Linked DNA regions of Struthio camelus. The protein of the gene in region 1 purifies or fractionates together with the protein of each later gene. This does not show direct contact. Links are inferred from orthologs where the notes say so. Each region holds a gene or a part of one and is shown in the gene's direction. Other genes may lie near its edges. The genes, in order: COPS7A, COPS8, DCAF11 and DDB2.

The links.
Region 2: the proteins of COPS7A (region 1) and COPS8 purify together in Homo sapiens (affinity purification with mass spectrometry; 11 studies listed by BioGRID and IntAct, counting the BioPlex papers as one, with this or other methods). This does not show direct contact. The link is inferred for Struthio camelus from reciprocal best matches to the Homo sapiens genes COPS7A and COPS8.
Region 3: the proteins of COPS7A (region 1) and DCAF11 purify together in Homo sapiens (affinity purification with mass spectrometry; 3 studies listed by BioGRID and IntAct, counting the BioPlex papers as one, with this or other methods). This does not show direct contact. The link is inferred for Struthio camelus from reciprocal best matches to the Homo sapiens genes COPS7A and DCAF11.
Region 4: the proteins of COPS7A (region 1) and DDB2 purify together in Homo sapiens (affinity purification with mass spectrometry; 5 studies listed by BioGRID and IntAct, counting the BioPlex papers as one, with this or other methods). This does not show direct contact. The link is inferred for Struthio camelus from reciprocal best matches to the Homo sapiens genes COPS7A and DDB2.

Annotation. Positions count from the first base shown.
Region 1 is NC_090942.1:90,744,964-90,753,047, reverse strand, and holds COPS7A (COP9 signalosome complex subunit 7a), read left to right. Parts: upstream 1-4,926; 5' UTR 4,927-4,979; coding exon 4,980-5,141; intron 5,142-5,225; coding exon 5,226-5,301; intron 5,302-5,680; coding exon 5,681-5,769; intron 5,770-5,845; coding exon 5,846-6,048; intron 6,049-6,522; coding exon 6,523-6,628; intron 6,629-6,873; coding exon 6,874-7,025; intron 7,026-7,351; coding exon 7,352-7,391; 3' UTR 7,392-7,417; intron 7,418-7,688; 3' UTR 7,689-7,968; downstream 7,969-8,084.
Region 2 is NC_090947.1:4,259,446-4,266,574, forward strand, and holds the start of COPS8 (COP9 signalosome complex subunit 8), read left to right. Parts: upstream 1-3,904; 5' UTR 3,905-4,157; coding exon 4,158-4,235; intron 4,236-6,365; coding exon 6,366-6,436; intron 6,437-7,129. UniProt on the Homo sapiens protein: Component of the COP9 signalosome complex (CSN), a complex involved in various cellular and developmental processes.
Region 3 is NC_090970.1:262,899-270,558, reverse strand, and holds the start of DCAF11 (DDB1- and CUL4-associated factor 11), read left to right. Parts: upstream 1-4,660; 5' UTR 4,661-4,674; coding exon 4,675-4,874; intron 4,875-5,116; coding exon 5,117-5,253; intron 5,254-5,378; coding exon 5,379-5,500; intron 5,501-5,592; coding exon 5,593-5,657; intron 5,658-5,753; coding exon 5,754-5,854; intron 5,855-5,932; coding exon 5,933-6,079; intron 6,080-6,616; coding exon 6,617-6,671; intron 6,672-7,660. Other genes in the region: PCK2 (phosphoenolpyruvate carboxykinase [GTP], mitochondrial), read left to right, coding at 1,021-1,475. UniProt on the Homo sapiens protein: May function as a substrate receptor for CUL4-DDB1 E3 ubiquitin-protein ligase complex.
Region 4 is NC_090946.1:39,425,718-39,432,814, reverse strand, and holds the start of DDB2 (DNA damage-binding protein 2), read left to right. Parts: upstream 1-4,060; 5' UTR 4,061-4,081; coding exon 4,082-4,225; intron 4,226-4,373; coding exon of another isoform or gene 4,374-4,453; exon of another isoform or gene 4,454-4,622; intron 4,623-4,734; coding exon 4,735-4,921; intron 4,922-7,097.

The DNA of each region.
Region 1 (8,084 bases):
GGTGATATAGTGATGGAAAGAAGACAAAAATGCAGAAATTATTTCTGTTGTGTATTTGACCAGGATCTGGAGCAGGATCAACGTATGTCATGTGAGGACAATGAAACATCTTTCTGCCCCGTCATACCTGGGAAGCACATGAGGCTCTTATTTCTGCTAGGCATAATCACTTTAAAATCATCATGTACAGATCGTTTATTCCAGAGTCTTAAGGTTGAGTGGCTGGGGAGATCTCTGATCCACTGCTTTCTAGCACTGCTTCCTAAGGGTCGTGAGGCTCGTGTGGTTGCCCTGCTACCTGGAGAAGTTTGTCTGTCCATCTGTTTGTCTGTCAGTTGCCCTGCTGTGGAACCCCTGGGCTCGTTTCAGCCAAATTCCACAAAAGAAATAGAGTCTAAAAAGTAAGTAAGTTCCAGTAAGTGGTATGAAAACCGGCAGCCTGATAGAAGAAAGAGACACTGTTGGTGGCTGTGCTGAAAGCCCTTAGCCATGCTGCTGGGCAAAAATCCACATGTCAAAGCAGTCCAGCCAGCAGGCAAAAATAAATTAAGGGGAAAATACAGAGAAAGATGTCTATGTCAGAGAGTGGGGGAGGAAGAGCCCAATGACATAGGCCATAAGCAAAGGGGAAAGGGCTAAGAGTTGTGGGGGGGTTAGCTGAGTAGATTATGGGGGGAACATAAGGGTTTTGACAAGAAATGGAAGGTAGTGGTGGGGAGGGGGTGGACTGGAAGCACTTGGGGAAGCAGGCAGCAGCTGACAGAAAGGGTGTCTTAAAGAGACCCTGGCTGAAGCTGGCATATGGTAGTGGGAAGTATAGAAAATATAGGAAACAAGTGCATAGAGAACCCAGTTTCCTTGGTCCCATTGCTCACCAAGCAACCGGTTAATAAGCTTTGGAAAACCAGAGACATCCCAGAAGACTGGAAATTAGCTATGCTCTGCCTATATTTGTGAAGAGCAAACAGAAGACCTAAAAATTTCCAGGCAAAGCAACAGAGGAGCTGATATGAGATTCTTCAGTCAACGCCAATCAGCATGATTTTGTAAGAAACTGATCTTGCTGCATAAACTTGTTTTGTTCTTGTTAGGCTTTGATGTGACTACAGGTCTGTTTGGAAAAGGTGACGACTTAGATCTATCCAGGCTTTTGGAAGCATTAATACCCCAAAGCATTCTGGTGAAAAAAATAGCGTTATGCAATGTTAACAAATCAGGAGATTAAGTGAGCTGGTTCAGTGCATTTAACTACCTAAAAATGCAAAAGGGCTTGTCCCTGGAAGCCCACCATTGAGCAGCAGTGTCTCTTATGTGCTTCTGCAGGAATGAGTCCTGCCTGGGTCAGGCATGATTCACCATTTTCTTCAGTGTTTAGGGAGCAGATGTAAAGTTCACTCTAATACAATTCACTGATGACACAAATATTTTTAGAGTGTTAAAAATAATGAGGCTAGAAACAGCATAGAATGACCGACTGCTCTCAGTAAGGTGGTCATTCACATAAAACTTCTTTTAAGATAGTCAAGAGCAAATCGCACAGCTATGAACAGGAAAAAAATTCCATATCTACAGAGAACTTTCAGTCCTGAAAAGAGGTGTTCAGAAAAAGATTTAGGGATCATAACAGGCAGAAAAATCAACACAGGCCTGGTGTGCCAGGCTGCAGCAACGGATCTGATGTGATCCTTGGCATGCAAATGCTGGACTAAGGAGGAGACGTAAGGAGATGATTACACCTCTCCCTGCGACATGAGTGAGTCCCACCCTGGAAAACTGCACGCTACTCTGTGGTCCATATTTTAAAATTAACATTGAATCAAAAATGATCTGACGGCTGGTGATCTTAGTAGTTTGAAGAGGTCAATCTGTTTAATTTATCAAAAAGCAGAAAGAGACATGACTTGATTACAGTATCACTTCCTTCCTAGGGAAAAGTCTACCAGGTATGCTGGCAGAGAATAACAAGAGCTAGTCGCTGGAGGGTGATTAATCACAAAAACAAACTACCAAGTGAAGTGAAATATCCTCTGTCTCCTGAAGTCTTTGAATCATGACTGGAGGCCTGTCTGGAAGATCATTCCTGATCTGCAAATTCCTGAAGGCTGTGAGAGCATGTGGGAGGAAAAGTTACCACGCAGTCACCCTCTTCTTAAATTCCTCTGTAAGCGACTACTACCGGGCTACCTTAGGTATAATTAGATACAAGTCTTATGTCCCTGTGCGCAGTAACCAAGTATGGGTTATAGGGCTCAAAACTTTCTGGATCATGTTGCTATCCAAGAGGTTCACCCCACCTTCCTTTGTCCTCAAAAAGTTTTTGGCTCAGAGTTTGTCGTGCTTATGCACAGCTGTGAAAAAAACATCTGTGAAGATGTGACCTGGGCTTAGTTTGGAGAAGAACTGGGAAAAAATATCCTCAGCATTTGGACAAGATCTTCAGATTCTGCAGTAGTAAAGACATAAGCAAGTTGTAATGATACAGTATAACTCTACAGGCTTTAAAGTGGGACAGTAAGGACGCAGGGAAAGAAGGTGGTTCTACGGCAGGGAGAGAGGACGGTGGGTTCATTCTGTGAAGATCAAAGTAAGATCAAGAGAAGAGAGGGATGATGCTAGAGGTGGTTACAGAGACGATCAGCAACCCTGAACACTCAGAAGTAATAACACATAACCTCCCAGTATGATAAGATTTACTTTAAAAGTAATGAAATGTTGTAAAGCCATATATATTTTCATCTGCATTCTTTGCCTCTTACTTTTGACTCTTGAGATTACACAAAGATCACATTTCACAGTTCCTCTGTAGCCATAAAGAGAGGAGTTTGCTCAGTTAACAAGATGATAGCAGGGGAGTTAACAACTCCAGGAGTTCGGAATTTAATCTCAGTGCCTGATTCCCTGATCTAGGGAGGAGGCAAAGACTTTGCCAAGTTATGGGCAAGTTGTGAATGCCTTCTAGCGAGAGTTTGTACACTTTAAGAAGAGGAGGGTCTTCTCCTCTGGAGAGCTCAGCATGTGGTTCATTCACAAGACCTTCTTTTCTTTGCCTTTGTTAATACAGGCAGGACAAGGAGGGAGCAGAACAACCGTGGGGACCAATCTAATCCAGCACACCAGACCTAGGGGGTCAGAGTGAAGGAGGAGGACAGAGGCAGAATCGTGCCGCGAGGATGCTCAGGCTGCCCAGCTTTATCTGACTAATAATGAAAGGCAGCAAGCGTGTCAGAGAATGTGAGGGAAACAGATCGATAGAGAGATAAAACTGAGATGGAAGAAGCTGGCAAGGGGGTGGGGAAGAGAGTAATAAAACACTACAAGTCAACGCGGTTACATTTTAACCTGATTTGTATGCTCCCTGCGCTGGTGTAAATGAAGGCATCAGGTGTAAGGCCAGGGTGAATTAGGCCTAAATACAGAAACAGAGGTGTAAAAGAATGAAGGAGACAGACCTCTTATTAATACTGCCCTGTAACCTGCCTTCACAGCTCCGACCCTACCTTAGAGGCCCTGCTTCCTCTGTAATCCTGCTGTATGGAGAAACCAGGACCTCGTGAGCTCTGAGAATACACATCTGTGGCCTTTCCCTGATTCACTGGACTACTGTGATCTTCATCTTCTCCCAGAGCAGTGACACTGCATCTCAGTCGCATTATCCCAGGCGGAGCACAGGAAATGCTCCTTATGGCCCTGTTCACTGAGGATCTGGGGCAGGGCAACCTCTGACACTGCCTGCTTGCTAGCCGGTGGGCACTCTGCTCTCTTCTTCCAGCAGTAGCCTCAGCACCGAGACCAAACACTGAACACACCTCAGAGGCTGAACCCCCTGAATATGGCTCGGGACAACACGTATGGCTGTAGACACGAGCTTGGAGTAACCCTCCCGTTACTCAGGCTGCACCTTCGCTGCGAGACCTGATAGCGTGAGCCCTCGCAGCAGCCACGGGCTGCGTTTTGGAGCACAGTGCCCCAAAGGAGGCTTCTCCAAAACCCAGCCACAGCAGCTGCAGGAGAAGCAGCAGAATCAAAGCAAGTAATGAGAAGGAAAGTAAGGCCTTTACAGACTTAGACGTTACCTAGGTGAAGATTTCAAGACGTTATGCGTATAGTATAGAAGTCTGGCACCGGACCACTCCACTGTCTTTGATATGTGCCGAAGACCTCTTACTCGCAAGCATGTGTTGGAGTGCAAACCTGGCCCGACTGCCTCAAGTTTGAACATAGTAAAAACATGCTGCCTGAGACCACGTCGGCTGGACGGCTGCTCCTGTCGGCCTGTTGCCACCTTTGCTTCCGTCTCAAGATGTCCCTGAAATCTGGAAGAAACCAGCTGTGGGAAAGTCAGTATGGGGCTGGAAATGAATGTTTCCCGACTCCTCTGCTCCCTCAGCCCCCCTGACAACTCCTCTCAGCCCACCGCACGATTGATGCACAAGACAAGACCTATCAAGATTATACAAAATGACCCTCTCTTTCCAGCCCAATCACCCCCACCCAAAACGTTTCTTTCGCCTCGCAGAGGGCCAACCCCCGCAGCGAGGCCTGCCGAGCCTCTTAAACTAACTCGTTTGCCCGTGAGGAGATAACTGAGGGGGCGTTGCGAAGCTTTCCATGCCGGGGCCGGGGCCGGGGCCGGGGCCGGGCCGGGGCGGACCGCGGTCGGGCGCGGGGCGCCGCGCCCCCACCGCGCCCTGCGGGGGGCGCCCTCGCACCGTGCCGGCCCCGCCGCACGCCCCTCAGGCTGGCCAATGGGAAAGCGGTAGAGGCGGGACTGGCCGCTGCCTCCGCCAGTCGCGGGCGGGGGCGTGTCGCGGCGCGGCGAGGCCGGGCGGTGCCAGCAGCCCGGAAGCGGCCGCTCTGCGACGTCGCTGCCATAGAGAAGAGGGCGCGGGGCGGGGAGCTGCGGGGGAGGGGGGCCGAGCTGCGGCGCGGTGGGGCCGGGCCGGGCCGGGCCGTGGGGGCCGCGGGCGGGCGGGAGCGCCATGGCGGCGGAGGGGAAGGTGACGGGGCAGAGCCAGGAGCAGTTCCTGCTGCTGGCCAAGGCCGCCCGCGGCGCCGCCCTCGCCAGCCTCATCCACCAGGTGCTGGAGGCGCCGGGCATCTACGTGTTCGGGGAGCTGCTGGACATGCCGGCCGTGCGTGAGGTGAGCCCGGCGGCCCGGCGGGGTGGGGGGTGAGGGGCCGGGGGCGGCCCGTGGCGCGGGGTGACCCTCTGCTCTTGGCCGCAGCTGGCCGACAGCGAGTTCGCGCCCGTGTTGCGCCTGCTGACCATCTTCGCCTACGGGACGTACGCGGACTACCTGGGTGAGTGCGGCTGTGCGTTTAATCCGTTAATGCTGCCGTCCCCCCCTCCCCCCCCCCCACCCCCGCGATGTGGCGAATCTCCAAGAACATCTTGAGGAAGATTTTTTTTATTAGGGGGCCACGGAGAGGGCCTAGGTGCCCATGGAGGCGTGGAGGCCTCTGTATGTACGGCACTGAACTGACTAGGAAAGAGGGCTCAGAAAAGCTCTTCTGAGCTGCGAGGTACCAGTGGTGGCTTGTCAAGGCAAAGCGTTGCTTGGGACACTGGTATCTAGAAGGCTTAGGAAAGGGTTATGGTGTAGATGCTTCTGTGGCAGTGCTGGGAGATGGAAACTGGGACTTGTGAAGTCTAATACCCTCCTCTTTCCCTTGAGAATAGCTGAAGCAGCAAACCTCCCTCCCTTGACAGAGGCTCAGAAGAACAAACTGAGACACCTGTCAGTTGTTACTCTGGCTGCCAAGATCAAGGTAACAGCCCTGTTTTTCCCCCCAGTCCTTCTTCTGTGGGGATTCGCTCATGCTAGTTACCTTCTTGTTTCCACAGTGCATCCCCTATTCAGTGCTGCTGGAACAGTTACAGCTGAAGAACGTCCGGCAGCTGGAGGACCTCGTGATTGAGGCTGTGTACGCGGATGTGCTGCGCGGGAGCCTGGACCAGCGGAACCAGCGGCTGGAGGTGGATTACAGCATTGGGCGGGACATCCGGAGGGAGGAGCTAAGCACCATCACCCGCACCTTGCAGGAGTGGTGAGGAGGAAGCCCACCATACTAACACCTAAAAAGGTTGAAGGAGTTGTCAGGGGCTTCCCCAGATTCTCTGCCCCTCTTTGAGGGGAGTAGTGTTTTGAGGTTGGTCTACTCAATCCCATTTCCCATACGGCAATGGAAAATAATTTTTCACTTCCCCTATTTGCTTCTGGAGGGGTGATGACAGCTCAGCAACTTTTGCACAGTTGTGGTTCCTGGCAGGAGGCTTCCTGAGTATACATCTGTATAGCTCCTAATCTAGCGTCACTTTGTGATTTGTCTCCTGCCCCCCCTGCCATGTAATAGTGTCACGACGTTATTACATGGGACTGCTCCTCCTGTGTCTTCCCTGCCTGGTTTAGTCATCACCTTCCAGTCTCATTGGCCTCTAGAGTTGAAATCTGTTGTCTTTCACTTTTCTTTCTGTGCTATGCGAATCTTTCTGGCCCGTTCAGTCTTATGTCTTCTCTACAGGTGCCAAGGCTGTGAAGTTGTCTTGTCGGGCATCGAAGAACAGGTTAGCCGAGCCAACCAGCATAAAGAGCAACAGCTGGCGCTTAAGCAGCAGATAGAGAGCGAGGTGAGTGGGCTAGGGAGGGAGCAGCCAGTTCCACTCACTTTAAAAATGACTGGAAACAGTACCATGTGGTTGTTACTGTTTTTGCTCAAGTAAGGCATTGCCTTTCCCTTAGGCCAGGACCCCAGGGGTTTGTGCCTGAAGAGTTCTAAATCAGCTAAATGCTCCTCCACAGTACAGAGATCTGGATAGTCATTAGCTCTTTCGTTTGACCTGTTTGTTTGGTTCTTGCGTTTCCAATATGGCAGGTGGCAAATCTGAAGAAGACAATTAAAGTGACAACAGCAGCTGCTGCAGCAGCCACATCCCAAGACCCGGAACAGCACCTAACAGAGCTCAGGGAGCCAGCCCCTGGCACCAACCAGCGCCAGGCTAGCAAGAAAACTTCCAAAGCCAAAGGGTGAGGAGTGGTGGCAACTGAACGTAGCCACTGTCTGTGTATATTGAGGAAGTGAACTGATGGAATTGCTGTTTCAAAGCAATGAGGTTACTGACTGCAGGGCTCTGCTCCCTGGACATGGGATGGTCACAGATGTAGTCCCAACTGAGCTCTGCCTCCTACTAATTTGGAGGGAAATGCGTGCAGTTCTTGGTCTGAAGCCGAGTTCATAAGCCTTCCTTGTGTTCTGTCCTGCTGCTGCCGAGAAGCCCCTTTGTGTGCATTTGGAAAAGGAAGTCGGGGATGAGCCTTAGTACTCCACTCTGAAATGTTCTCTCTCTCCACAGGCTCCGGGGCAGCGCGAAGATTTGGTCTAAATCAAACTAGTTGGATCCTCCTTCACAACTGGGAGGGTGAGAGGGAGAGATTTTGGGGGGGAAGGAGGGTAGCAAGGGTCCCAAGTGTGATGCTTCTGAACTCATCTCCAAGATCCATCTCTCCAACTAATTCTCCTGCATGTTTGTTCTCTTTCCTGGCTTCTTCCTTCCCAGCCAGTCTATCCCTCTTCTCTATCATAGCATTTTACCCTCTAAGCTGTATGCCTTGCTGTTTCCCTTACCCCTCAAGCCCCCATCACCACGACCATATGTTTCTCTCTCTTCTTCTCTCCTTGTCTTTCGACAGATAAATTTAAAGAGCCAGAGAGCTGCCAGTCACCTTTGCACCAGTAGGGCATGACAGAAGCTTGGAAAGTGTGTGTGGTGCTCAGCAATCGTTTTGGCTCTATGAGACCCCTGGGACGCTTTGCTCCAGGATGCAGCTGCCATCTTTGATTGTTTTATCTTTGTTTTGCTGGGTGGGAGGGTAGTTTTTGAAGGGATTCTTTTAAAAAAAAATATATAAATATATTATAAATATCTATAAAAATAATAAAAATACAGATCTATGGACATATCTATACAAACTTGTGCTCCTGCAGTGGTGTCTCATTATGCCTCATGCATGCTGATTCTGGATGTAGCAGAATAACTTCCGGTATTGAAAACCTCTGTCCCATCTATGCATGGAATGCCCTCAAAA
Region 2 (7,129 bases), on another chromosome or scaffold:
GCAAAAAGAGGAAAATGTGTAGACGTGCCCTGAAAGTCATAAAAACAGCTCAGGTTAAATACACGCAGGGTCTCTTTTCCCCCTCGCAGGTTAGGAAAGGGCAATCTCTGCCTCCGGAGCTCCTGGCAGAAGCAATCGCTCTTGACCCAACGGCGGGTCAAGACACCTGCAGCCCTGCCCGGATGCTCTGCTACGCGGACAACCTTCAGCGCGTCATCCGGCACGGACCCCTTCGCCGCTGCCTCGCGCAAAGGGCGGGAGAAAGGGGCCGCGGTCTCCCGAGTGTCCTGCCTGGCTGCCCATCGGCTGGGAGCAAAAAGAATAATTTCTTTTTGATTTTCTCCAGACCTTCAGAGAGGCGGCGCCGACTCCGCGGGGCGCTCGCGCCAGTGCTGGACCCGAAACGCGTGTCGTCCCGCCGCCACCAGAAATCCTGGCGTCAGTGCTTTCCCAAACTAGACCCAGGCTCTTTGGGTTGCCTCTTGGTTTCTCTTTAATATCACAACAGTGATGGCGGGAGGAAGCTCCTTGCAGCCCTGTAACCTCGCTGTCGTAGCCCTCAGGTTAAAAAAAAGTTTCCAAGGAGGAAATTGTCCCCTTTGGGTTCTGCTTGCGGCCTGTTCGCCTTGGCCTCTCGCTGTTTCCGCCCTGCGATGCAACGGCTAATAAAAAAAACGAGACGTTTGTCCACTTTGATTAGGGTGGCTAATGAAAAAGCATGCTTTGATGTAATGGAAGGAAACAATGTACTTAAGAGATATTTGCTCCTCAGCTCAGCCACAGCGAATATAAATCGGGGCGCGCGGACGATCAGGAAGGGTGTGGAGAACTTCAACTTGACCCTTACCACCGTTTTCTTTGACTTCTGCATTAAATTACCTTTCCTGTTGTTCCATATCGCTGCCGTTACATCTTATTTTCCCTCTAATGATCTTTTTGTCCGCCTTAATGATATTTTTTTTTTTGGTTCCCCTTAAAAGCGTTTGAAGAAGATAAGAAAAGGGGAAGCTTTGCTAATCGCCTTTCCAGAGCATAGCTCCGGATCATAGGCAGCGCGTGGAAACAACTGGGAAGACGAAGCCCAGTCCCAGCGTCTCCGCTAGCCTTTCCTGGAGCCGGCTGGGATGTTACTTTGAAGACAAAACTACCATGCGTTACGATTGCTCAGTGCGGCAGAACCGGAATCCATTTCTCCTGCTGCATTAAAATTCATACGAGGCACAGATGAATTTCTGGGGGCTTCACACCATCGCTGCCCTAAGGCACGGAATAAAAACAAAATCGCATTAAAAATACCTTACGCTTCTGCAACAGCCGGCAGCCAAGTCTTAAAGTGTTTTTTTTTTCAAATCCTACGGGCCAAAGGCAAAATTCAGGGTCTTTCAAATCAGAGTTTCGCCACTAATTTAAGCCGCGCACATTTTCCAGCTAGCTCAGCTCTTTTCTGATTCCTGCCTCTTATTTTGAGGCTTCACTTGAAGAGAGGCTCCTGGACGTGACTTTGTGAGGGCCAGGACGCTCTTGGTTACTGCTGGGTCTCTGCTGCTGGGTGATGTCCCACCAGGGCCATTGGAGGTGAGGGGAAAGGGCAGTCTGGAGAGACCAGCCAGAGAGGGGCAGGGAAGCACGTGAGCTTCAAGAGCGGTGGTGGTGGTGGGGATTTATGGACGGCTCGTCCTCGCTCTGTCCCGCGCGCAAGAAGCAAGGCTTACAACCAAGGGTCTGAACTCGTCCTGTGCTGGCTCCAGGCATCTCCAGGCTTTGGGAACAAAAATTGCTTCCGGCGTGTTGAGCCGGCCCTGGCAGCTGACCTCCGCTACTGCCAGGGGCTGCAGCGAAAGCCCAAAGCAGATCCCTCTGCTTCGTCTCTTGAGTTAATAAACTAGGATAAAACAAATTGGGGCGGGGGGAGGCCCCAAGCGCCGGAGGAGAGCCTCTCCCGCAGGGGCCCAGGGAGCGCGCGGAGCTGGGTCACCGCGCCGTTTCGCCATTTTGAACTACAAGAGCCAGCAAAGGGCCTTCACAATATTTGTAGAGCAGCCCAACGGCGCCCCTCCTCCTTCTCGCCCTTTCCCTACATCTCTCCTTTCCTTCTTTTCCTCTCGCTTTCTTGCTCTTTCTCTCCTTCCTTCCACCCGGCCGAGCCGCTGCCCGTCCCCCAGACCCGTCCCCGCGTCTGCCGCCGGCCCGAGGCGTTGCGTCCCGCCAACTGGCCGCCCTTGGACGGCACTGGGAGGCCACCGCCTCCTCCCTGGGCTCCCCCCTGACTCCCCTCGAGATGCCCGAGCGCCCTAAAAGAGAGAGCAGCCGAGAAGGCACCGTGTGAAACCCCCCCTCGGCCTGTCCCTTGGGCGCCGGCAGGCTGCTGCTCTGGCGGGCAGTGCCCTCTCGCGGAGAGCTCGCCGCAGCTCCGCTTGCGGGATTTTTTTTTTCCTGTTTGCATGCCCGTGTGCACTGGGGGCTCACTGGAAATGTGCCTGTGCACACTGGGAGCTCACTGGCAGGATGCATGCGTGCACTGGGAGCCCACTGGAAATATGCCTGTGCACACTGGGGGCTCGCTGGTAGGATGCACGGGTGCACTGGGGGCTCACTGGAAATATGCCTGTGCGCACTGGGAGCCCACTGGCAGGACACCTGTGCACACTGGGGGCTCACTGGCAGGATGCACGTGTGCACTGGGGGCTCACTGGAAATATGCCTGTGCACACTGGGGGCTCGCTGGCAGGATGCATGCGTGCACTGGGAGCTCACTGGCAGGACGCCTGTGCACACTGGGAGCTCACTGGTAGGATGCATGAGTGCACTGGGAGCCCACTGGCAGGACGCCTGTGCACACTGGGGGCTCACTGGCAGGATGCATGCGTGCACTGGGAGCTCACTGGAAATATGCCTGTGCACACTGGGGGCTCACTGGCAGGATGCATGCGTGCACTGGGAGCCCACTGGCAGGACGCCCGTGCACACTGGGAGCTCACTGGCAGGATGTACGTGTGCACTGGGAGCCCACTGGCAGGATGCCTGTGCACACTGGCTCACTGGCAGGATGCATGCGTGCATTGGGAGCTCACTGGCAGGACGCCTGTGCACACTGGAGGCTCACTGGCAGGATGCATGTGTGCACTGGGAGCCCACTGGCAGGATGCCTGTGCACACTGGGAGCTCACTGGAAATATGCCTGTGCACACTGGGAGCCCACTGGCAGGATGCCTGTGCACACTGGAGGCTCACTGGCAGGATGCACGTGTGCACTGGGGGCTCACTGGAAATATGCCTGTGCACACTGGGGGCTCGCTGGTAGGATGCATGCGTGCACTGGGAGCCCACTGGCAGGACGCCCGTGCACACTGGGAGCTCACTGGCAGGATGTACGTGTGCACTGGGAGCCCACTGGCAGGACGCCTGTGCACACTGGAGGCTCACTGGCAGGATGCATGTGTGCACTGGGAGCCCACTGGCAGGATGCCTGTGCACACTGGAGGCTCACTGGCAGGATGCACGTGTGCACTGGGGGCTCACTGGAAATATGCCTGTGCACACTGGGGGCTCGCTGGTAGGATGCATGCGTGCACTGGGAGCCCACTGGCAGGACGCCCGTGCACACTGGGAGCTCACTGGCAGGATGTACGTGTGCACTGGGAGCCCACTGGCAGGACGCCCGTGCACACTGGGAGCTCACTGGCAGGATGTACGTGTGCACTGGGAGCCCACTGGCAGGACGCCCGTGCACACTGGGAGCTCGCCAGCAGGACGCCCGTGCACACCGGGCCGCTCATGCGTTTCCGCCGCGCCCCCCGGCTCGCACCGGCCGCGCGAAGCGGCCGCGGCCCAGGGACCCCCCGCAGCCCCCGCGCGCCCTCCGCACCCTCGTAAGGCGCGCGGCCCCGCCCCCGCTGCCGAGGCCCCGCCCCCAGGCTTCGGCCCCGCCGAGCCCGCCTCGGAACCCCCCTCCCCGCCCGGAAGTCCTCCAGGGTATAAGAGACAGAGCGGCTAGCGCGCTAGAGCGGCTGCCGCGCGTCGAGGGCGGAAGTGCGTGTGGTGGCGGGACGGAAGTGACGCCCAGGCGCGGCCGCCTCCTGAGAGGAGGCGGTTTCGGCTGGCGGCGCTTTCGGGCCGGGCGGCGGCGGCGGGGTGCCGTGGCGAGGGGGTGGGGAAAAATGCCCGTAGCGGTGATGGCAGAAAACTCCTTCAGCTTCAAGAAACTGCTGGAGCAGTGCGAGACGCAGGAGCTCGAGGTACCGGCGGGGCCGGGCCGCGGGGAGCACCATGGCGATGGCGGCGGCTGGGGGGGGGGGGGTTGGTGAGGGCACCGCGCATGCGCACTGCTCCGTGGCCGGCGGGGCGCCTCGCTGAGGCTGTGGGCGCTGCCCGGCTTGGGAGCGCCCCTCGGGTTGTGTGTGTGTGGGCAGGGGGGATGTCTTACACGGGGGGTGGCCTCCATGCTGCTTTAACGTGGCCCTCGCTGGAGGGTTTATGGGTGGTGGGCGCTGAGTGAAGTTGGAGTGGCCCCCGGAGCCGCGGCGGGAAGAGGTTACAAGTCCCAGTGCTGCCCTGTTAATTGTCAGAAGTTGTTGTTAGGTCGTATCCTTAAGGCTGCTGTCGAGGGAGCTTTCAGTGCTTCTGCTTTTTTTTTTTTTTAAATCAATGAATACCGTGCCTCCCAAGGTAGAGACCTGAAAGAAGGGGAAAATGAGAATTTTTCTGTTTTCTTTTTTCTTTTCTCTTTTTCTCTTTAGTGGTACTGATTTTGCATCTTGCTGGCCTAGCAATTGAAAGCAGGGAGGTGGCCCAGTCGCTGTTTGCTTGCCACAGCTGAACTTGAAGTTATGCAGTCTGGTGTTACCAAACAATTTGGTGCTACTAAATATAACCTCTAAATGGAGGAGGTCACTACTTACGGGTCTGTATTCCTGGTGCTTTAGTTGAGGAAGAACTTCAGCCTCCATTTCTTATTTCTGTGCTGGACCCAAGGTGCAACTCATAATCCCAGTGTGATGCTGTAGCTTCTTTTTGTGCCCAGAATCCTGTAGAGGAGGGTTTTTATTTTTTAAATAGCTTTGTGTGCCTCTTTCGACTCTGTGGAGCAGAGGGAGAGTTGTATCAGCCCAGCACACTCAGCTCTGAGTACTGAGAATGGAGTCTGGAAGGCTGTTGGCTTTGCTTCTGTAGCCGTCTGAGACAGTTTGACATCCCTCCCTGGCATCCTCACTGCAAACTGTGTCTTATTGGACCTTGGTGGGTCCCTGGGAGCTGTTATAAAGCAATTGAACTTAGGCTGTGCTATGCTCGAGGCTTCTGCTGTGTCTGTCAGCAGAGCCACCCAGAGTAAATGACAGCAGATGCACCACTCGTCCTTACTGTTTCTTTTGCTTAGAGCTGAGTTAGCTCTGTTTCTGCTTCCTTTGGCAAGACTGTAGATGAAAGCATTATTCTGACTGTTTGTGATTCCATCAGCTCGCACTAGTGTTCTGGCAGAAAAACCTGATTTTTCTTTAATTTGCTACAGAGGAACACCAGACTTGCACAGTTCAAACAGGTGATGTTAATTGACCTGTGTTTGTTTTTACCAGAAGTAATCTAGGGTGTGTTTGCTGAAAATGTTGTAGCTGTAGGTTGGTGATAAGCCCAGGAAAAAAGGGTGAGAAGAGTAGTTGGGGATGATATCTGTTCAGTGACGCAGCTAATCACCTGCTTTTGGCTTAGATGAGCCTCTAAGTCACACACATAATGAAATCCAATAGCTGCGTAATTGGCTTCCTGTGAATGCTTACTGCACTATCCTTTGATAAATTGCTAAAAGCTTGTTGGAAATCTTTTCAGCTTTTTAATAATTATAGCCTTCCAAAATCTTATAACTTTATTATAACTCTTTTTTCCTACTTGTACAATTGGTGAGGTCTGCTGAAGTGTGGCAAGTGTCAAAGCTCAGCCTCCCTTTTTAAGAAGGGCAATTCAAGTGTGGAAAGAAACTTTACTCTTGTGGAGTGCTCTGAGATGAACTGAAGTCAAGTTCACTGAAGACAGCCTAGATGCACCTGGTCATGATGAATAAGATGGTCACCACTTTCATGAGCATAAGCTAGAACATTAGTATAATGAAATATGCTGTTTTATGTTACTCGTGCAGACAACATAATAGAGTTTTCTAAGGCAAAACTGTGGCTTGTGCAAGGTACTCTTCATCTTGAGATACAAATGTGTTAATGCAGTGTCACAACTCTGACAGTTTGTCCACAGCTGTTATCTGAGGTGGAAAACAGCAAGTGTCTTATGTTCATTTTTCATTAAATTCAGCTGCTTGATGTATTTCTTAAGATGTCTTGCTTTTAAAACATGTAACCAAATTATTTGTGCTTGCTTTTAAGGCCCCTGGAGGAATTGCAACACCCCTTGTTTATGGCCAACTTCTAGCTTTATACTTGTTACATAATGACATGTAAGTGGCTCTTATGAATATTTAGCTTTGTATACTGAACAATTTGTCCCTTTTAAGCTGATTGCTAGAATTCTGGCAATGCTAGGTCAATCTGTGTGACTAACAAAATGCATGTAGGCAGTGTTGTGTAAAAAATGAGCTTAGGTAGGAATCAACTGTAAGTCTTTCTCTTCCCTTCCTATGTCAGGAAAAATAGCCTCCTTTATTTGCTCTTGCGTACTTTTTCCGAAGCCTAGGGAAACAGACTTCAGGAAGAAAGTTATTTAAGTAGTGAAATTGGCTTTTGTGGGAAGCATTGAATGCTTCTATGGTTTGCTTTGTAGCTTCTTAAGACAGTATTTGTTTTGACTACGACTGCATGCTGCTGTTTCGACTGCATGCTGCTGTTTCGTATTTAAAGGTATTGCAGGGTAACTTTAAACTTCCTGTGTTAAACATGAGGGGCACTGGTTGTTGAAATGATCTAAATTAGCATCTTTATTTGACTGATGTAATCCTTTAAATTCATTCTGGTGGATTATTAACATGTCCCTGTGTGAACTTGATTCTTTCCTTTTAAAACTCTATTGAAAATGTTTTATTGATGCAGGGTAAATGATGCTTGCCTTGTAGGCGTATAGTGCATGCCCAACTCCACTGAGCACTAATGCTGAGTGTTAGGTTTCCTACAGATAATCTTGGTTGAAATGGAGC
Region 3 (7,660 bases), on another chromosome or scaffold:
CCCCCATCCCTGGCCCCAGTATGTCCACTGCCCTCATCCCTGGCCCCAGTGAGCCCCTATTCCTGGGCCCAGTATCTCCAGTGGCCCCAGTGAGCCCCTTTCCCCGTCCCCAGTGGCCCCAGTGAGCCCCTTTCCCCGTCCCCAGTGGCCCCAGTGAGCCCCTTTCCCCGTCCCCAGTGGCCCCAGTGAGCCCCTTTCCCCGTCCCCAGTGGCCCCAGTGAGCCCCTTTCCCCGTCCCCAGTGGCCCCAGTGAGCCCCTATCCCCGGGCCCAGTGGCCCCAGGGAACCCCTTTCCCCGTCCCCAGTGGCCCCAGTGAGCCCCTATCCCTGGGCCCAGTGTCTCCAGTGGCCCCAGTGAGCCCCTTTCCCCGTCCCCAGTGGCCCCAGTGAGCCCCTATCCCTGGGCCCAGTGTCTCCAGTGGCCCCAGTGAGCCCCTTTCCCCATCCCCGGTGGCCCCAGTGAGCCCCTATCCCTGGGCCCAGTGTCTCCAGTGGCCCCAGTGAGCCCCTTTCCCCATCCCCGGTGGCCCCAGTGCCCCCCATCTCTGTCCCCAGTGGCCCCAGTGTCTCCAGTGAGCCCCCATCTCTGTCCCCAGTGAACCCCTATCCCTGTCCCCAGTGTCTCCAGTGCTCCCTTTCCCTGTCCCCAGTGGCCCCAGTATCCCCAGTGCCCCCTATCCCTGTCCCCACAGGTCTTGGTGCCCCTATGACCCTGACTCTGACATCCCCAGTGCCCCCCAACCCTGTCCCCAGTGTTCCCAGTGCCCCCCAGCTCTGTCCCCAGTGCTCCTATAACACTGACCCCAATGTCCCCAGTGTTCCCAGTGCCCCGAACCCTGTCCCCAGTGCTCCCAGTACCCCCCTAACCCTGACCACAGCGACCCCGTAACTCCGATCCCACTATCCCCAGTGCCCCCCAACCCTGATCCCAGTGCCCCCAGTGCCCCCCAACCCTGACCCCAGTGCCCCCACCACGAGGCCCCGCCCCCCGCTGACCGGCCCCGCCCCCCCCCGACCCAGGGAAGCGCCTGATGCACGACCCCTTCGCCATGCGGCCCTTCTTCGGCTACAACGCGGGCCAGTACCTGGCGCACTGGCTGGCGGTGGGCGAGCGGGCGGGCGCCCGCCTGCCCCGCATCTTCCACGTCAACTGGTTCCTGCGCGACGGCGCCGGGCGCTTCGTGTGGCCGGGCTTCGGCCACAACGCCCGCGTCCTGGCCTGGGTGTGCCGCCGGGTGGACGGCGAGCCCAGCGCCCGACCCACGCCCGTGGGGCTGGTGCCCCAACCCGGCGCCCTCGACCTGGCCGGCTTGCCCGGCGTCACCTACGCCGACCTCTTCCCCATGGACCGGCCCTTCTGGGAGCGCGAGGCCCGCGACCTGCGCCGCTACTTCGACGAGCAGTTCGGCTCCGACCTGCCCAAGGAGGTGCTGGGCGAGCTGGAGGCCCTCGAGGAGCGCCTCAAGAAGATGTGACCGCCCGCCCGCCGCCGAACGCTGGCCGGCGCCTTCGCGGACCTTTCTTCGTGCTCCCTTGGCCGACGCCTTCGCTGCTGGCTCTTCGCGAGCCGTTGGCCGCCGTCTTCGCTGACCAATCACCGCGTCCCCCTCAATCTCCGCCTTCGTTGCTCGGTCTCCGGGACCTGCTGGCGAGCTTCTTCATTGACCGATCGCCCCGTCCGTTTGCCCTCCATCTTGGTTGCTCGGTCTCTGGAACGTGATGGTCGCCGTCTTTGTTGACCGATCAGCACGTCCTCTCAGCCACCGTCTTCGTTGACCAATCACCGCGCCCCCTCGGTCTCCGTCTTTGTTGCTCAGTCTCCGGGACCTGCTGGCCGCCATCTTCATTGACCAGTCGCCATGTCCCCTTGGCCTCCATCTTGGTCGCTCGATCCCCGGGACCTGCTGGCCACCATCTTTGTTGACCAATTACTATGCTCTGTTCAGCCTCCATCTTTGTTGCTCGGTCTCCATGACCTGCTGGTCTCCATGTTTGTTGACCAATCATGACATCTCTTTAGCTACCGTCTTCATTGACCAATCAGCGCATTGTTTTGAGTGCCGTCTTCGTTGAGCAATCACTGCATCCCCTCAGCTGCCATCTTGGTTGCTCAGTGTCCGGGACCTGCTGGCCACCATCATCTTGAGCAATCACCGCGTCCCCTTGGCCGCCATCTTTGTTGCTCGGTGTCCATGACCTGTTGGCCTCCACCTTCGTTGACCAATCACTGCGTCCCCTTGGCCACCATCCTGGTTGCTTGGTCTCCATGACCTGCTGGCCTCCACCTTCGTTGACCAATCACCGCCTTGCCTTGGCCACCATTTCTGTTGCTTGAGCTCCATGACCTGGCCTCCACCTTCGTTGACCAATCACTGCATCCCATTGGCCTCCACCTTCGTTGACCAATCGCCCTGTCCCCTTGGCCACCATCCTGATTGCTTGGTCTCCATGACCTGCTGGCCTCCACCTTCGTTGACTAATCACTGCATCCCGTTGGCCTCCACCTTCGTTGACCAATCACCGCCTTGCGTTGGCCACCATCTTTGTTGCTTGGTCTCCATGACCTGCTGGCCTCCATCTTTGTTGACCAATCGCCACGCCCCCTTGGCTTCCACCTTCGTTGACCAATCACTGCGCCCCCTTGGCCACCATCTTTGTTGCTTGGTCTCCATGACCTGCTGGCCGCCATCTTGGTTGACCGTCCTTCGTCCGACCGCCCTGTTGCCCGACGGCTCCGCCCACCGGCCGCCGTCGCCTGCTGACTGATGCCACTGTGACCCCATTGGCCGACGTCTCCGTGGACCCGCGGCCCATTGGCCGACGGCCTCCGGTGGGGGGGGGGAGAAGGGAGGGGGCGGCACCTGGGGGGGCTTGGGCCGGCGCCGCCCCTCGCCTGACCAATCGCCGCGCCCTGTCGGCCCACCACGTCGCCGCACCCCATTGGCCGGAGCCTGCCGCCGCCCGGCCCTTTCCCAGGTGCCTTTGGGGCGGGTGGGGACCAATAAAGGAGCCCTCAGGGGGGCGGAGCCAGGTCTGTGTTGTCCTTGGGGGGGGGGTCAACGGTCAGAGGGGGGAGGAGCTATGGGGCAGGGTCAGAGGGGGAGGAGCTAGGACCAACTCGCCGCGGCCAATCGGCAGCTACTGAGGCTCTGTGGGAGCTGTCAGTCACGCTAGTCCCACCCCCCTCACCCCCCAGCCTATCAGGGAGCATTGTTAGGCTTGCTCCTCCCACCCCAGCTGCTCTCCAGCCAATCGGGGAGAGCGCCTCCCCCTCCACGTCCCACCCTCCCTGTCAATCATCTGCCCTGCCAGCCAATCAGCACCTGCCTCGCCAGGCAACGGGGGGGGGGGGAGGGAGAGGCAGGAGGCGGCGCTTATCAGCTCCCGGCCAATCAGAGCCTGCTGTGGGGGGGGCGGGGTTGAGGGGGGACGGCAGCCAATGAGCTGGCTGGGGGCTCCCCCCCCCCGTGGGGGGGTGGTGGCAGCCAATCAGGGCGCAGCGCCTAGGCTCCGCCCCTCCCCGGAGCCTCCGCTCTGGCTGCGTAAACAAGTTGCTGCGGCCACCAGGTGAGGGGGGGGCGCCGCCGGTTGGGGGGGGGGGCGCCTCGGAGCGGCTCCTGATTGGTTGCCGGCGGGGAGGGGGAGCGCCCTGATTGGTGGAGCAGGCCCCCCCCAACCCGGGGCGGCCGTTGCTGGGGGCGCCGGCGGGGTCCCCACCTTTTGGGGGGGGGGGTAGAGCATGCGTGTCCCCCCCCCCCTCACGGCACAGAGGGTCCCCATTGGCTGGCTGTCCCCGTCCCCGCCCTCTGATTGGCTGGCAGCGGGGCACCGCTGTGCCCCCCCCTCGCGCCTCCCCCCCCCCCACATTGAGCTGGGCGACCCCGGGGCTCCGATTGGCCGATACTGGGAGTGACACTGGGGGGGGGGGGGCCGCCCCTCTCCCGGGCCCGTTGCCGGGGGATACCGGGGTCAGCCGGTCGCCGCGGGAGACCGGGGGTAGGCCGGTTGCCGGGGGTCGTGGGGGTGTCAGGCAGTGGCAGGGTGGTCACGGGGGGGGGGAGGGGAACAACCCGGTCGCTGGGGGTAACCGGTGTCAGTCCGGTCGCCAGGGTAACTGGGGGGGGCACCCGGTCACCGGGGTAACTGGGGGGCAGCCTGGTCGCTGGGGTAACTGGTGTCAGTCCGGTCGCCGGGGTAACTGGGGGGCACCCGGTCGCCGGGGTAACTGGGGGGCAGCCTGGTCGCTGGGGTAACTGGTGTCAGTCCGGTCGCCGGGGTAACTGGGGGGCACCCGGTCACCGGGGTAACTGGTGTCAGTCCGGTCGCCGGGGTAACTGGGGGGCAGCCTGGTCGCTGGGGTAACTGGGGGGCAGCCTGGTCGCTGGGGTTAACTGGTGTCAGTCCGGTCGTCGGGGTAACTGGGGGGCAGTTCAGTCGCCGGGGGTAACCGATGTCAGCCCGGTCACCGGGGTAACCAGGGGGCAGTTCGGTCGCCGGGGGTAACCGATGTCAGCCCGGTCGCCGGGGTAACCGGGGGGGCAGTCCGGTCGCCGGGGGTAACCGATGTCAGCCCGGTCGCCGGGGTAACCGGGGGGGCAGTTCGGTCGCCGGGGGTAACCGATGTCAGCCCGGTCGCCGGGGTAACCGGGGGGCCCCGCAGGCGGGACGCCGCAGATGGGCTCGCACAGCAGCAGCGGCGGCGGCGGCGGCGCGGGGGGCGGGCGGGAGGCGGGGGGGCCGCGGCGGCCCCGGGGCCGGCAGCCGCCGCCGCCCCCCCCCGCCGAGGAGCGGGAGAACGAGGAGGAGGAGGAGGAGGAGGAGGACGAGGAAGGAGACATCGACCTGGTGCAAGTGGTGGCCTACCTCCTGCGCAGGTAGGCGCCCCCGGCGGGTGCCCCGGGGCATCGTGGGATACGGGGGTGAGGGGGGGAATGTCCCAGGGCATTGTGGGAGACTGGGGGGGGGAATTGGGGGCGGCCCCAGGGGATTGTGGGAAGGGGGGGGACCCCCAGGGCGCCGCGGGGGGCGGGGGGGGGGAGGACGAGGGGGGCGGCTCTGCTCGTCCCCGAATGTCCCCTAACGCCCCCCCTCTGTCCCCCCCCCCACCGTCGCACAGCCGGCGGGTGCGGCTGGTGCAAGACCCGCAGGCGGCGCGGGACCTCTCCGACGACGAGGAGGAGGATGAGGAGGAAGACGAGGAAGACGCCGAGAGCGCTTGGGAGGGCCGCCCGGGCGACCGCTACGTCCCGCCAGGTAAGCCGGACGCCTGGGCCCCTTGGCATGCGGCGGTGGGGGGGGGGGTGGGAGCAGGGGGGGCAGCGTCTCCCCCCACCCACCCACCCGCCCGCCCGCCGCCGCCGTTAACGGAGCGCTGGCAGCGGGCGCCGGCCCGGACCCGCGGGCGCTGGACGGCCACGAGCTGAAGGCGCAGCTGCAGCTGGCCGAGGGGCGCGTGGGGCCGGGGCCCACGGAGCAGAGCTTCCCCCGGCTCCTGCGGCAGGTAGGGAGCTGGGGGGGGGGGCCGGGAGGGGGGGGGAGGAGGGTCGCGCCCGGACGCCTGGGCCCCTCACGGCGCCCTCTCGCCTCTCGCAGCGGGAATGGGGCCGGTGTCGCAACGGCAGCTTCTCCTGCGGGGAGAAATCCCGCGTCAGCTCGCAGTGAGTAACCGCGGGGTGACGGGGTCGGTTGGGGGGGGACGCGCGGCGGTTGGCCTTGCTCCGCTTGACGCCCCCCCCCCCCCCACTCGGCTACAGCTTCCTGCCCAACCACGTGAGCTTCGCCGAGTGTTACGCGCAGAAAGCCTTCTGCGGCGTCTACTCCGACGACGGCAAGCTGTTCGTGTCCGCCTGCCAGGGTGAGCGGGGCGGCGACCCGCGGGAGGGGGCGGGGGGGGGGGGTCTGTACAGGCGCTGACGGCTGTGCCCCGCCGCAGACCACACGCTGCGGCTGTACGAGTGCCGGGGCGACGAGCTGCGGCTGTTGCGGGCGGCGCGGGGCCGCGACGTGGGCTGGAGCATCCTGGACGTGGCCTTCAGCCCCGACGCCACCCAGTGCCTCTACTCCAGCTGGTCCAACTACAGTGAGTCGGGGTGGGGGGGGGGAGCTTGGGGGGCGGGGCTTGGGCCAGGGGGCGGGGCCTGAAGCCTGGGGGCGGGGCCTGAAGCCTGGGGGTGGGGCTTGAACCCCTTGCCAGGACCTAATGCAGTACTTGCTAGTCGAGCAAGTGGGTTGGGGGTGGGATATGAGCCTGGGGGGTGGGGTTGAGCCTGGGGGTGTGGCTTAGTGTCAGGGGGTGTGGCTTGGGGCGGGGTCTGGCCTATGGGGTGGAGCCTGAGTCCCTCAGCAGCACCCAGCTTCTCTTCTGTCCTAGTCTGGCTGCAGGGAGTGAGCTTGGGGGGCGGGGCCTGAGCTCAGGGGGTGGGGCCTGATCCCAAGGGAGGTGGGGCCAGGCTGTGGGGGTGTGGCCTGAGCCAGGGGGTGGGGCTGGGGGAAGCCCCCCCACCCCCGGCAGGGCTAGCTGTGGGGGGGGGGGAACAGGAGTGGGGCCTGTGAGGCTCCTCCTCCCAGGGGGTGTGGCTGATGTGGCCCCTCCCCCTCTGCCTGTGACCCCGCCCAGTCCACGTGTATGACATCTACGGGGACGGGGACAACCACACCGCCCTGGATCTCAGGTGGGGCTGGGGGCAGGTTGGGGGGGCGCTATGGGGCGGATAGGGGGGGCCAATGGGTCAGGTTAGGGGCTGCATGGGGCAGGTTAGGGGCTCTATAGGGCACATTAGGGGTCTGTGGGGCAGGTTGGGGGCTCTGTGGGGCAGCTGGGGGGTCTGTGGGGCAGGTTGGGGGCTCTATGGGGCAGCTAGGGGGTCTGTGGGGCAGGTTGGGGGCTCTGTGGGGCAGCTGGGGGGTCTGTGGGGCAGGTTAGGGGCTCTATGGGGCAGCTAGGGGGTCTGTGGGGCAGGTTGGGGGCTCTGTGGGGCAGCTGGGGGGTCTGTGGGGCAGGTTAGGGGCTCTATGGGGCAGCTAGGGGGTCTGTGGGGCAGGTTGGGGGCTCTGTGGGGCAGCTGGGGGGTCTGTGGGGCAGGTTGGGGGCTCTATGGGGCAGCTGGGGGGTCTGTGGGGCAGGTTAGGGGCTCTATGGGGCAGTTAGGGGGTCTGTGGGGCAGGTTAGGGGCTCTATGGGGCAGTTAGGGGGTCTGTGGGGCAGGTTAGGGGCTCTATGGGGCAGCTGGGGGGGTCTGTGGGGCAGGTTAGGGGCTCTATGGGGCAGCTGGGGGGTCTGTGGGGCAGGTTAGGGGCTCTATGGGGCAGCTGGGGTGCTGTGGGGCGGCACGGCGGGCGCTGTGGGGCGGCGCCGTGGGTCACGGGGGGCCGCGGGGCGCAGGCCGGAGGAGCGGCGCTTCGCCGCGTTCTCGCTGGCGGTGGCGGCCGACGGGCGGGAGGGGCCGGGGGGCGGAGCCGTGGGGGGCCGGCGGGCCGCCGTGGGTCGGCGCCGTGGGTCACGGGGGGCCGCGGGGCGCAGGCCGGAGGAGCGGCGCTTCGCCGTGTTCTCGCTGGCGGTGGCGGCCGACGGGCGGGAGGGGCCGGGGGGCGGAGCCGTGGGGGGCCGGCGGGCCGCCGTGGGGCGGCGCCGTGGGTCACGGGGGGCCGCGTGGCGCAGGCC
Region 4 (7,097 bases), on another chromosome or scaffold:
CGGGAGCCCGGCCGAGCAGTCCGGGCCGGCTGCCGGCGGCTTGCGGGGGGACCCGGCGCCCGCCGCCGCGACCTGCCGCGAACCGCGGAGCCCTCCCGGCCCGGCCCCGGCCCCGCCGCTCCTACCAGCCGCTGTCCGCGCCGCCGCCGCCGCCCCGCTCCCCGCGGGCAACGACCGGCCGGGCAGCGCCTCCCCCACCCGCCCCCTTTCCGTGAGGAAACTTTTCCCTTGAAGCCGCCAGCTGGTTTGCCGCGCCGAGCTGCCCCACCGCCTCCCACCGGGAGGAGGCGGCGGCGGGGACCGGACCGGGCTCTGCCCCCGCCCCGGCCCCCCGCGGCGAGCAGGTCGGGAAGCGGCGGCGGGGGCGACCCTCACACCTACCTCGCGGCGCGGCACGGCGCGGAGCGGAGCAGGGCGGCGGGCGGGCGGCCACCTGGGCTGGGAGCGGGCCGGGCCCTCCCCCTATTTCAGCCGCGGGACACGGGGGCTCCCGGCCCGCCTCCCGCCGCCAGCGGCTGCCGGCGGGGCGGGCCCGGCCCGGCCCGGGCACTCGGGACGCGGCGCGGCGCCCCCGCCCGGAGCTCCCGATCCAATTAAGGGGCTGTGGGCCGGGGGAGCGGGGCCCCCGCCGCAGGGGGGCTTCTTCTCCGGGTTTTCTAGGTTGGCGTTTCTGCTTTTTGGTGCCGCTGTTAGGGACTGGGCGACAGCAGCCGGGCGGCGACCCGCGGGGCGCGCAGCAGCCCCTCGCTGGCAGCCCCTGGCGCGTCGGGCCTGGCCCCGCGCGCCCGCCGCCGCCGCCGCTCTCGCCCGGTGCCCTGCTCCCGGCCCTCCCGGCCAGCCTCCGCCGCGCCGGCCCGGCTCGGTCGCTCGCTCTCTTTTCCTCTGAAAAACATTTTCTGCCTCATCCACAGCTCACCTCTAAGTCCCCGCAGCCCCTCGGGTGACACCAGCTCCTTCCGAGCGCCGGGAGCTCGCGCGCCAGAGTTTCCATTTCCAACCCCGGCCTTGGGCGTGATTTGCCATGACGCTAGGGCAGGGCTTACGCCAGGCGAGCTGCGAGGCCTGGCTGGCCCCTTGCCCCTACTTTGCTTCCAAGCGACTTGGGACACAGCGCCAAGGAGCGAGTTCACAATGACGTTTATTCAATCGGTGGAGAAAGGGAAGACGGAGCGCCTCACAGAAGGAAGAGCGTGCCACACATCCGTGCTCCTGCTTCTTCGGAGTGCTACCGTGCGAGGAAGTCCTGTGTTGGAAAGCAGATGTTAGAAACCATTCTGCTTAATTTGCTTTGGCCCCGATCCTTTGCTCGCTTTTAATGCGCGTGGAGTTCCCGGGGAGATGGGCACCCGCAAGAAGTCCCTGAGTTGGTGTTACAATGAGTATCCTTTCAAAAAGTGACGCGAGATCTTTAACTTATCCTAAAAGTTAATCATAGCTGAAAATATAAGCACCAACTTCATATTCGACTGAAAAAAAAAAACGGTGTTTGGCATAGATGCTCCCTAATTCGAGATTTCCTTTCCATCATCAATTTTATGTACATTAATGAAGAGCAGAAAAAGGAAAAAAATCTGTCATAGATTAATATGCTACATCCAGCATTTATCCTGTGTTTTCATATGCTGATTTTCATACTGGTTTTGATATTGATAGCCATGCACAGAGCATCTAAAATAGATGCTTTCCATTTGGGGATCTGGCCCTCTGCACCCTTTCACCAACACTGATTAAATGGCATGGGTCCTGCATGACGTGGCAGCTTCACGCCTTTCCTCTAAGGCTGGAATAGCTTTGGGAAAATGGATTGCTCAGGTAAATGAGGTGATTAAAACAGTGACTTTTTTGTCTGTTTTCCCATTACCTGGCAGCTTAGTTAAGGTCATGGGCTAGAAGGAGGTCGGAGAGCATGATACTTACTCTCTCTTGTATCTCTTGAGGATTATAGGTTTTTTCCTACTTTTTAGTAGAACACAGGCTCGCTTCCACATGCAGGCCAAATTCAAGTTGCTGTGATGGTACTCTTTACATGAGTAGTCACGCTAAAGCAGCCAAAACCATTCATGCTTTGGAAAAAGATCCTGGCAACAAGGAGGCAAAATACCTAATACTATTACATACACCATCAAGTTGATGGTCTTAATGGCAGTATAGCTTTACCAGACCTGGTAACGACACTGCTGTATTCTCTGTTGGAGAGCCATGCATAACCAAGGCAGAACTTTACTAAAATCATAGGTCAGACAAAAGGCATCGTAAAAATAAGACTCATATCCTGCCCACCCGTAATTATACTTGCCTGACTTTGCTGCATACATTACTACTATCGGGTCTGAAGAGTGTGAGACTGTAAATACATTTAAGAACATTTTTCCAATTACTCTTTCTCTGGACTGCTCAGCATGCAGCGTGTCCTTCGTACCGTACCAGCACAGCGATACTTATCTCTGGAACCCTGGGTCAGTGGGGTTTCTTTTATCTGCATATGTTATCTGCTCTTCTTGTCCGTAGTAAATAGTAATTACAAAACTATCTGGCGACTCTCTAGAGGGAAAGCAAACTTGGTGTAATTGATTAAAAAAAGGACAGCCCTGATTGACAGCTCAAAGCGGGAAATCCCTAGGTTACTATGCATGTTCTCTGCCCGAGGAAGCTCACCCTGGAGGCAGAGGAATGGAAGGGGGATAGGAAGTGCACATCTTTGCTGGAAATAACTTGGATAACAGGATCAGCGTTTACTTTGGGAGCAGTACATAGATCATGGAAATCAGTAGATGTCTTTCAATCCACTTGAAGACGACTGGGATCGAGGCCTGTTTTTTCCAGTTACAAACATAGCTACGTACCCTTTTAAAGTATCTGAAAAGCAGATGTTAAGAATTACATAGTTTAATTTGAAATTTATTGGTGATTCCTGATGAACTCCACAGATTGTGCCTCCTCCTCCGATGACTTCCGCAAACCTGTGGACGAAACTGCTAATCACTGTTACGAGAAGAAGGATATTTTCCCATGTTATTTCCCTTCTTAGAAATCAAGCCTTCAAGGCTTCTGAGGGCTGAAGGCAAGTACTACTTTGAATTATTACTAACAGTATTTCTTGTTAATGGGTAAGTTCTCAGAACAATGTTATGTATTATAAAAATGCTTGATAAAACATGTCAACCTAATTAGCAAATGTGTTAATATGTTCTCAAAGACATTAAGTGCTGTCTGTCAGGGGTTATGACTTTTTCTATGTTATTCTGATACTTAGTCCTAGGGTGCCAGGAACTAATACAGTGTTGTTATAGTTCAGCAAAAAAAGTCCAGCGTGTGGTTTGGGTCCCTGTTGTTTCTTTTGGTAATTTTTCTATGCATTTTCTAAGATAGCAAAAAAAAAAAAAACAACCACCCAACAACAACCCAAGGAGTGGTGACAGCTATTTTAGGACCTGGGTTCAACGGCAGCTGTGTGGATGACCGGACCTTAATCACTCGGCATAGCTGCTGGTGGACCTGAAGCAGGGGGTGCCCCCGCTCCCGGCGGCGGGGGCGCCCACCGAGGCCCCGGGGCGGCCGTCGCTGGTGGCGCTCGGGGCTCCCGCCGCCTCGCGGCTCGCCGTTCGCCTTCCTGGCGCGCTTCGTTGCACAAGAGCCAGCAGTGCCCGAGTCACCTTGCCGCGCATTAGAAATTACTGCGTAACCCACGCTGCTGGGACTTCTCTACCTACCTTTAAAGAGCCTACCTTTTTTTTTTTTCTGCAGTTGAGTCCCAACACAACTCAGCCCTCAGATATGTCTTCTTGAGAAAGCTGTATTTTGAAGCAGTATCTTTTTTTTTTTTTTTTTTGGGGGGGGGGGTTGCTACAGGCCCCTGCCAGGCTGCTGCAATAGGCCAAAGCGGCGCTCTGTTTAAAAAAATAACAATTAAAAAGAAAAAAAAAGCATGTAAGGCTAGAAGACCTGTGCCCCCCAAAATAATAATAAGCTGCCAGGCGGCCGCCGCAGACGTAACAGCACCTTTGGCCCCGGCGCGGCCGAGCGCGGAGCCGGGCGGCGGCTGTGCGCCGGGGCCCGCCGCCAGGGGCCGGGCCGGGCCGCCATGGCGGGGGCGCCGGCGGCCTGCGGGCTTACCGCCGCCGCGGAGGCGGAAGAGCCGCTAGCCCGCTTCCCCGCCCCGCTTATGAAACGGCCGGGGAGGTGCCCGCTGCCGCCGGCCGGGGGAGCCGAGGCCGCCGGAGCCCAGGTGAGAGGCAGCGGCCGGGCGAGGCCTGGCGCCGGCGGGTGGGTGCAGGAGCGGGCGGCGGGCGGCGGGGGCGGCGGCCTGGGCGCTGCTGCGGGCGGTGCGCTGCAGGCCGCGTCGTCTTCGTAAAAGCTCCGGTCTCTCCCCTTAGCTGCCCCCCAAGAGGTCTCAGTGAGCTCCCGGAGAAACCAGCTACGGCGTTACGTGGTGTCCCAGCGGTACTTTACGCAGGTCTGTGGGTTTTAAGCTTAAAAGCTCCGCGGAGGCGTTTGTGGCCCGAACACAACTCGGGTGCCCTGGGGTGCGTTCGTTTTCACGTGCGAGCAAGGAAGAGGTTATTGAACCTGCTCCGGTAGAGCGCAACGCGAGGGCAGCGCCAGGCGGATGGAGGAGGGCGCAGGTACAGTCACTGCGTCCAGACCGCTGGGACGTGTTTCAGTCCCCTTTTCTCCTCTGTCTTCCGGCTAAAAAGCGTATGGCAGCCTTACCTTCCACGCTTTGTTCGCTTTCAGTGGTCAGACAGAATGGCTCTGGAGAACCAGCCCAAGGACAAGAAGCATGTGAGGACACATGAGCATCAGCTAGCAGAACTGGCAAAATCAGCTGGGAAAAGGAAACAAGACTATGAAGAAATAGAGAACGAGCCACAAGCAAAGAGGTTGTTTGTGAGAAAAACGTCCAAACCCCCAGAGAAAATAGGTAACGTTTCCTCAGGTTCTTGCTGGTTTTGCCAGGCAGATTTACCCTAAATGACAGGCATCGACTAGCTGAAGAGGGAAGATGCCAGCAAGCCTGCAGCCTGTTCAAACACGAGCGTTTGGATTGGATTATATTAAGGATTAAGGATTAAGTGATACACAGATGCGTGGTGGGGTATTACAGTCTCCAGTTATCTGTCTAATGAGCGTGCATGTGTATGCATGTTTCATTTTTGAAAGTTGCTACCCTTGCTGGACGCCTGCTCACTGAAGTCTCTGTCGCAGCTCACGGGAGGGTGATTAAGTTCTGTGGAATTCCTGATTTACCAGATGTCTGCTTTATTGTAGGACAGACCGATCCCTGTAATGTATTGTTTTTGTCATGTAGTTCTTAATGCAGTTTCATAATCGTAAGCTTGGTATCCTACAGTTTAGCATACAGTCTAAACTGGCATATTCTTTGCATATTCTGACTTTACCTACAGTAGGCAGGAAGGCTACATCCTTTCTACCTCTATATTTAGGTATTTATATTAGACTGGACAGAATTCCACTAATCACTTCTCCACATCTGCTTTTTTTTTTTTTTCTCTTGTATGTAATTTAGGAAAACGTCTCTTAAACGTTTTTGCTATGATGAGACGGAGCTGGTTGAGTTCGTAGATATTGGAAAGATTCATGCTTTGCATTGTCAGGAGAGTTGTATAGACTTCGGTTAGACTAACGATTGTTTTCATGTTTCTACGGGCATTATTTTTTTGATTCCACGTTTTGCTTAGGAGACCAGTAGAGTTATTGCCTGGTGTGGAAATAGTATACACTTTCTGTGCCTTTTTTTTTGTTTTGTTTTTAAGATCCAGAAATTACTGTAGGGTTTTTTTTTTTAATATTTGGAGATACAGGAGTTCTGCCATTTTGTACATTCACATTCTCTGATGTGTAACTCCAACCTTCAGATCAGTTGACAGTGTGAATAGTGAATGAAGATAAAATATTCTGTTTAAAAGGAGTTCTGCTTATGATGGTGGATAATTAACACTTTTTTAGTTAATTTAGCTACAAGATTTTTACTGTAACTTCACGGCCTGATTTTCAGATTTGGTGAGTTTTGCAGTTCCCATAAGATTCAGAGGGAATTGGAAGTGGCTAGTACTTTGGGAAAACGAGGCCAAGCTTATTTTTCCCTTACACCTTTCTTAAAAACAAGAAGACAAAAACTTTTGCATTTGAGCTTTTCCGTTCTGTGTCCCAATTTTGATTTTTATGTACTTTGGAAAACATGATTTTTTTCCCCAAGTAACATAAGAGAGATTCAGTTTCTTGCAATCAAAAACATTTCTTCCCCTGGATTCAGAAAAGTCCGAAAGTTTCTCTTCTTAACAAATTATCCTTCCTAACAAAACTGAATCTGAAAAAATACCCCTCTAGTATCACCTTTGAAGAAAGTACTGAAGATGCTAACTCTTCTGTGAAAACGAGGAATTTGAATGGAGATGTTTTTATATCTATTTCAGCAGGTGTGACACATGCCTGCTATGCTGGCATGTGAATAAAGAAGTTTAGTGTCACACCACTGCATCTCTAGGCTACAGTGTTGCATTAAAGAAAGATTTCCTTTACTGTCTCGTCATGAAGGATGATGTCTGTGTTTTGGTCCTATTTTATTATTAATATCCTGACATGAAAATAGGATTTTTGTTTCTTAAGAAATGCTTCCTTGCCATTTGACATCTAGATCCCCTGGGGTGTTATGGACCATTGCTGTGGGAACGATTAGATCACAGACATGGGACTGAACGGATCCTGTTTTCATGCAAAGGTCCCTGAAGATAAAACTTGGAACACGAACAAAATGTCGAAGCAGTCTGTGCTCTCAGCAAAACTCACGCTGAACAGAAAGGTTTTCAGGCGATGAGGCGTCAGCAAGTCTATTATCAAAAACCAAACTCGCAGTGCTGTAGGCAGGCTGTATGGGCTACAGCACAAGCAGATCGAATGTTCTGATTCACGAGCAGGCGTTTCAGGAACTGCATGGGAACTCCTGTGTTACTACGCTTGGGGAATTTTCAGGTGGTGGTGTTCTGCTGGTCACAAGTCTGACCTTCCCTCTGCTATAAGCTCACCCCCTCCCACTGCACGTTTCCAAGTCATTGGCGGGGGTTAGGTAGCTTTGTTGT